2 linked regions of the Caenorhabditis elegans genome follow. The protein of the gene in region 2 purifies or fractionates together with the protein of the main gene of each other region. This does not show direct contact. Each region holds a gene or a part of one and is shown on either strand. Other genes may lie near its edges. The genes, in order: shc-1 and sre-29.

Region 1 (3,923 bases), on a different chromosome or scaffold from region 2:
CTATCATAGCTCATATTTTACTTATCTCAGGTTTTACCAAAAAATTGCCAATTATTAAAACATTAGCCTTTTTCTTCGAAAATCAAATTTTGCCCGAATTGCCGAAAATATAGATTTGATATTTTTTTGTAGATTTAGGAGCCTAAACATTTTTTAATTTTTTAAGTATTGACCGTTTGCTTTTAAAAATGACTAATCGAATACTGAAAACACAGTTAACTTTTTTTTCAATTTTCGAATTATAATTAGGTTTGAAAATTGCCGAAAATGTCGGCATTCAGTTGGAATTTTGGCAATTGCCGAAAATTTCCGATTCCCACGCGCCCCTGGTGTGAACCTAGTGAGCATGAAGCCAAACGTTTTAGAAATTCAGCAAAATTCTAGCTTTTTTCTATAAAAAATCTAAAAAACCTTACCGAACCAAAAAATCGCCTTCCGTCTTCAACAAAGCCTGTGCATCCTCTCTGGATAAATTTCCATGATACCAAACTTTCCCCACAACATCCTCAGTTACAGTAGGTGCTCGGCAATTCGACACAAATGACTGTCGATGCAGGGAACTTCGATGTCTCATCGGCGGCGCCGGCACCGTAAATCCATCGTTAGAAGTTGAAGCATTCGCCTGTGCATCAAAAGTGTTCACATTGATCGCAGTGGTAAGGACGTCGATGAGCTTGTGCACATCCTCGATGAACACCACGTGGCATCGACGATCCGTTCCATCCTTGTTTTTTGCAATGTAGCCGAACATTAGCTCCGTGTCCGTACCCTTTTGGCCTTGGGCTCCGAATGAGAAGAATGAGAAGGGATGACGTTGAATTAGACGACTTTGTTTTATGATTTTGATCATTTTCGAGGAAATGTTGATGTCTACGGGGAAGTTTTCTTTTTTCACTTCACCGATTACCTGAAAATAAGGATGGTTTACCTGGGCTTTTTCATCGACCCGTGAAGTGTCGGCTGCAATAATTTTAGTCGAAATTAGTGATAATAACTTTTCTATGAATAGCGGCTGACATCATTTAGCGCGATTTTTGATCGACCTGTAAGATGTCGGTTGCTTTAGTACATTCTATAGTGGCAGGCTTTTGGCTGAATTTTACTGGATATATAAGCTATCAAAATTTGAGCATGTCGATGCACCATGTAATTATCTCAGTTTATTTCGCTGCTATCAAAAAGTGTTAAAATGCAAAGTTGTAGTAGAAAAAACGATAAATATTTTGTCAATTGACACTTTTTCAAAAAAAAACCAAAACCAGCAGAGATATAAGTAGTCAAAGTTGAGTCAGATATTTCCAGTCGATGCACCATGTAACCTTTCTCTAATAACCTGTGAGATGTCGGTTGCTATAATTTTTTAGTCATTAATTTGGACAGCTTGTTAATTTGAAATAATTCTTGATGATATCGTAGCGCGGCCGACATTTCACGGGTCCTTTTTTTTAAACATTTTGCAAAGCTGGTCATGCATTTTTGGTAACACTTAATATCAAATTAATGAGAAAATGTTTTGTAAATTTTTACCATTAGCCATGCCCAGAAAATGGCAAGTTTTTTATTTTATTTTCTTTTGTTTTTTTAATTCACAAAAAAAAACTCACCCTACTAACAACTGGATTGATTTCTCGAGCCGCAGTCACGCCAACAGTAGCTGCAACGTGTTGTATACATTCTCTGAAAATTGAACAGTTACTTTATTACGTAGATTTTTTATATATTTGAGCTTGCAGATGTTACCTGCCTTCATGCCTGCCTACCGCCTGATTTCTAAATTTTTGAATAAGATTTTTTTTTGATTTTAAGCCATAAGAAAAACTAACGAAACAACTTGAACTCTCATCTCGGAAACCATCACGTTAATTGACTCGACTACTGGAACACTTCCGAGGTACTGAAAGACAATTTTATATTTTCGGGGAAAAAACTAATAAAAAACTCACAGTAGCCGACAGAGAAACCCCGCTGCTCCGCAGCTCCTCTGCAAATGAGGGCTCCACGTTGAGCATCGCCGCAAGTTGATTTTTCGACGGAATTTTTGATTATTTTTAGAAAAAATCTAACTCGAAATTCGTTACAACCGAAATTTTGCAAGATTGAGTGAATGAGGAATGACCGGGAGAGAAACGGAGACGCAGGCGGTGAGCGGAGTGGGAGAGAGAGCGCGCGAGACGGAGAGGCGCAGGCAGTGGTAGGGAGGAGACAGGGAAAGATTAGATTGGTGTTGACTGGGTGAGTCAGCATTCTAATAAGTTAAGTTGACTCATAACTTTGTTTTTTGATCAGAGGGGGGGGGGGGGGGCCGTGGCCTAGAAATATCATTGCCTACTTATTACGTCACTAATGGTCTAGGAAACCTTGATAGCTTTTTTGGAGAAGATATGACGTCATTGGTGGACTAGAAATCTTATTTTAGTTCTGGAAGAGAAATATTTTGACCGTGGAAGACAAATTAATGATGTGACCGGTGGCCTAGAAGTTTCAAATTATACCTGGGGAAATAAATGACGCCACTGGTGGCCTAGAAAACTTAAACTATGCCTGAAGACGTCACCGGTGACCTAGAAATTTAATTCTGGCGACGTCATAGAAATTTGAATTTTGATGAGAAATATAATTTTATTGGTTTTCTGAAAATTGAATTTTATTGATTTTTTGGCAACCGGGAAATTGGAAAATTTAATAAATTGAACAAATGCAATAAAATAAGCAGTTTTTCAACAGTCATTACTTTTTTCCGTGAACCGTTTTGATTTTAATTTGTAAATCTAGGTCGGAAAAGTCACACACACCGAGGAGCTAGGCTTCCCTCATCCTCCCTGGATCAGTCGGTAACTGCTTCGACTGGGGAGTGGGAGTGGGAGGGGTGGGATGAGTTCAATTCTTCTGGAATTCCATAATTTTTATTTTTGTTTTTTTGCGCCTACATATACCTGTGAAAATTGGAACTCGACACAAAAACCTCTCTAGCGCGGCTTAAATTTACTTCAATTCTTCCGGAATTCCATAATTTTTATTTTTGTTTTTTTGCGCCTACATATACCTGTGAAAATTGGAACTCGACACAAAAACCTCTCTAGCGCGGCTTAAATTTACTTCAATTCTTCCGGAATTCCATAATTTTTATTTTTGTTTTTTTGCGCCTACATATACCTGTGAAAATTGGAACTCGACACAAAAACCTCTCTAGCGCGGCTTAAATTTACTTTCCTGTCCCAAAAACTCATCTATAATATTTTTAAAAAATCTAGAATCCAAATCTATCAGATTTTTTTGAATTTTTGATTTTTTTCACATCGAGATTCGGAATCAGCGGAAAATTTGGAGTCAATTAAAAATATTTTCCAGATTTCGATACTCCACATTTAAAGGAGATCACCTGAAACGCCAGAATATGATACTTCATACTCTCCATCTTCTCGCTTTTGAAAATAATCAAAAAAAATAGTCGCCGTATTTATTGATATAGAAAAAATACCAACAAAATTGTAACTATTGATTAGCCATACAGGGTCTTTAAAGTCAACATTCATAGTGGGAGCTGGAAATAAAAATATATAATAACTTGTTAAAAGAATTTATTGTGGAGTTATAACACCTATAGACAATTAAAATCACCTGCTGCCTAAAGAGTATTTACCAGAAGCAAAGGTTTTCTGAATTTAGTGGAGTTTGTCCATTTACTTTTTTGCATGTTATTGAATTGAAATGATACATAGTGAAACTAGAGGTAAAATTATTTACTAGGTTTAGGCTTAGGCTCAGGATTAGGCTTAAGCTTAGGCTTAGTTTTAGGTTTAAGCTTAGGCTTAGAATTACCGATAACTGATAACTTTTGCAAATTTAGTTTCTGTAATATCGGCAATAGCCAAAATTGCCGGAAATTTCTGCGATTCGAATAAATAAATTGAAATAAAAATTAG
Region 2 (3,923 bases):
GGGACATGGTTTTGTGAGCTAATGGAACAAAGTGCACGCAAAAGCTTCAACTCTGAGCCAAGATATAAGCGCTCAAAGTAGCGTTACAGGATTGGTCACAGAACGTGCCCTTATTTTTTTTATTTTTCAAAGGTTGCAATTTCCATATTTAATATAGGAAGAGGAAGAGAGGAAGAGGAAGAGAAAAAAAAAAGTTTTTTTATTGCAATTTCCCAACTTACAAAAACAGGAAGTTCTCCACAAAATGACAGCAAAATGGGGGGATTAGGTCATAAAATAGTGCAGTAATTCCGATTCCACATAGAGCAATGCATGATAAAACGACAAAGACAAGCCGGGTTCCAAGCTGCAAATTTTAGGTTCAAGATGTCCAAAATTGCCCACAATTTGCCGGAAAATTACCCCAACTTGAAGTTTTATTTGCCCGTTTTACCCAATTTGCCAGGTTTTTTTATCGCCTTTTTGTTTGATTTTTACGCATGTTGTGTGCCCCCAAAACTCACATATAACGCTCTTAAATTCTCCTTGACCTGAAATTGCTGGGAAACCGAAAAATGCCTGCGTCTCCTTGGATTTCTAATCTCTCGTTCAAAAGATTCATTGCACTTTTTCACAAAGAAATATGCCTGGAATTTTTGAAAATTTGATAAAAATAAAAATATTATACCATTGCAGAAAATGGGCAACAAATAATCCAAGGAAGCTGGGCTAGAAATGGCCCAACTTTTTGAAAGAGTAGGGCAAGAGATGTGGATATTGATAAAAATTGAGAGATAACTGTTAGAAATAGAGGAATAAAAAGTTGAGTGTTGGATTCGTAGTTTCTGAAGGAAAATATTTTGGAAAAAATTAAAAAGATCGAATTCGAATTTCGCGCAATTTTAAATGTAATTTTGCGGCTAAATTTGTTCAAAAATTATGCATTAATATTTTAATTTTTCTGAGATATTTTCTGAGGAAATTTTATGCTAATTTTTTTAAGTTAAAAGTGTAAATTTGGAGTCAAAAAGCTTTTTAAATTTAAATTTTGAATGTTAAAATTTCCCTATAAAACAATCGAAAAATTTGGAAAATTCATTATTTTTAAATTAAAAAAAAGTTTGTTTGAAAGTTTTAGTTTTAATTTTATTATCGAAGGTTTTTGAATACTTAAATTTCGAGTTTGGTCACAATTTTTTTGGTTAGGTGAATTTTTATTTAAAAAACGCTAAATTTCAAGTTCAATTGTTTTTAAAAATTTCGATTTTTTCGTTACAAAATCAGAAAACTGGAAATTTTATATATTAAAATTTTTTTCTCAAAATTTAAATTAAAGTTTTGAATTTAAATTGAAATTCCAAACTTGAGATTTGTACCAATTAAAAAAAAATTTTTTTAGTTTGAAAAAAAATTCAAATAAGAATTTCAAATTTAAATAAATTTCCCTTTAACAATATGTACTAACTCTATCAAAACCGACGCAACCACCCTCTCCACCGCAATTGCAAGAACTCCAAATATGATAGTAAACATGTAGTGCCATTGCAGAAAACCCCCAAAAATCAATAATTCCAGACCATTTACTGATTCAACTTTTAGCTTCCGCGTTGGGTCACTGGTCCAAATTTCAATATGCACGCCGAGTTCAAATCCTGGATTCAAAATTTTCAACCGATAAGCTATAGTAATCAATTTTCCAATTATAAGCTCAAACCAAATCCCAAATAAAGGAATCGCCAGAATATACAAATTGCGGTGAAACATCTTAATTTTCAGAATTATATAAATGTTTAAAGTTAGAATATAGGCACATATAAGGTAAGAAAACAACTCGACGATTGATAATACCAGTTGAAAATTGAAAGTTTCATCGTAGAAATGTATAGGTAACCAGATATCGTTTGAATTGATTTTTATGAGCATTTTTTTAAAGTAAAACTCACACTTTTTTGAGTATATAATAGCTAGCCAATATCGCAGATCACCTGCGCTGAACTTTTTTGTTTTCCTGAACCTAAATTTCTTTAAGACACGGCATATACTTAAAACGCACAAAGCACACGGCAATTTGTGAGTTTCCGAGAACAAAAAGCTGTGAGTTGTGTTTATTGGTCATTTGTAGAACGACGAACAGAACCTGGAAAGTTTTGAAGCCAATAACTATGAAATGAATAATTTTTAAAAAAATTTCCCACTAAGTCTCCGAAGCACCGCCCATTTAATGGTTGGTGTCTCAAAATTGTTTATTATTTGGAATGAGATTTTTTTCTACCTAGCAAAAATATTTTTCTTACGAATTTTGAGCTTTACAAAGCTTTTTCAAACTTTTGATTTCAAAAACGTGTGCTCTGTGTCCTCGGCAGTGTGAGCACATTAGAGCAAGCAGTTGTCATTTTTTGAAGCAATTGGTGTTATAGTGTTCAGCATTCTCCAGTCAGCATTTTACTCAGACCTTGAAACATGCTAAATACTTGATATTTTGCATATTCCTCTTCAACCTTGCTCACGGAGCCGCCACTGTTCTGACCCTAAATAACTGCACTTCAAATGAAAAAATCGAGGAAGTTTCTTGCCTTTTTGTGAGTTTTTCTAAAGAATCAATTTTAAGCTTCTTAATTGAGGTCTAAATATGACTATTTTGTTTAGTAGGCACCTCTTCAGGTCTACACGCCTACCTCATGCCTACATGCCCCGGCTACTAGATTTTCACGTTCGCTGGTTCAATTTTGATAGTAGGCATAGGTAAACATAGTAGGCAGAGGTAAACGGTACCCTCAAATCAGGGGTGGGCGGCAAATTTTTTTCCGGCAAACCGGCAAACCGGTGATTTGCCGAAAATGCGAATTTCCGGCAAATCGGCAAACCGGCATATTGCCAAAAATAAAAATTTCCGGCAAATCGGCAAACCGGCAATTTGCCGGAAACAAAAATTTCCGGCAAATCGGCAAACCGGCGATTTGCCGAAAATGAAAGTTTCCGGCAAATCGGCAAACCGATGATTTGCCGAAAATGAAAATTTCCGGCAAATCGGCAAACCGGCAATTTGTCGAAAATGAAAATTTCCGGCAAATCGGCAAACCGGCATTTTACCAAAAATAAAAATTTCCGGCAAATCGGCAAACCGGCATATTGCCAAAAATAAAAATTTCCGGCAAATCGGCAAACCGGCATTTTGCCGAAAATGAAAGTTTCCGGCAAATCGGCAAACCGGTGATTTGCCGAAAATGAAAATTTCCGGCAAATCGGCAAACCGTCAATTTGTCGAAAATGAAAATTTCCGGCAAATCGGCAAACCGGCATTTTACCAAAAATAAAAATTTCCGGCAAATCCGCAAACCGGCATATTGCCAAAAATAAAAATTTCCGGCAAATCGGCAAACCGGCATTTTGCCGAAAATGAAAGTTTCCGGCAAATCGGCAAACCGGTGATTTGCCGAAAATGAAAATTTCCGGCAAATCGGCAAACCGTCAATTTGTCGAAAATGAAAATTTCCGGCAAATCGGCAAACCGGCATTTTACCAAAAATAAAAATTTCCGGCAAATCCGCAAACCGGCATTTTGCCGAAAATGAAAGTTTCCGGCAAATCGGCAAACCGGTGATTTGCCGAAAATGAAAATTTCCGGCAAATCGGCAAACCGTCAATTTGTCGAAAATGAAAATTTCCGGCAAATCGGCAAACCGGCGATTTGCCGAAAATGAAAGTTTCCGGCAAATCGGCAAACCGATGATTTGCCGAAAATGAAAATTTCCGGCAAATCGGCAAACCGGCAATTTGTCGAAAATGAAAATTTCCGGCAAATCGGCAAACCGGCATTTTACCAAAAATAAAAATTTCCGGCAAATCGGCAAACCGGCATATTGCCAAAAATAAAAATTTCCGGCAAATCGGCAAACCGGCATTTTGCCGAAAATGAAAGTTTCCGGCAAATCGGCAAACCGGTG

Evidence for each region.
Region 1: the proteins of sre-29 (region 2) and shc-1 fractionate together in Caenorhabditis elegans (co-fractionation; one large-scale study listed by BioGRID). This does not show direct contact.

Annotation. Positions count from the first base shown.
Region 1 is NC_003279.8:971,044-974,966, forward strand, and holds the start of shc-1 (SHC-transforming protein homolog 1), read right to left. Parts: upstream 2,091-3,923; 5' UTR 2,010-2,090; coding exon 1,944-2,009; intron 1,895-1,943; coding exon 1,824-1,894; exon of another isoform or gene 1,678-1,823; coding exon 1,605-1,677; intron 1,044-1,604; exon of another isoform or gene 908-1,043; coding exon 417-907; intron 1-416. UniProt on the Caenorhabditis elegans protein: Scaffold protein which plays an important role in the activation of the JNK pathway composed of mlk-1, mek-1 and kgb-1; by bringing together mek-1 and mlk-1, promotes mlk-1-mediated phosphorylation and activation of mek-1 which in turn phosphorylates kgb-1.
Region 2 is NC_003280.10:12,399,990-12,403,912, forward strand, and holds the start of sre-29 (Serpentine receptor class epsilon-29), read right to left. Parts: upstream 1,903-3,923; coding exon 1,445-1,902; intron 825-1,444; coding exon 668-824; intron 627-667; coding exon 504-626; intron 347-503; coding exon 222-346; intron 1-221.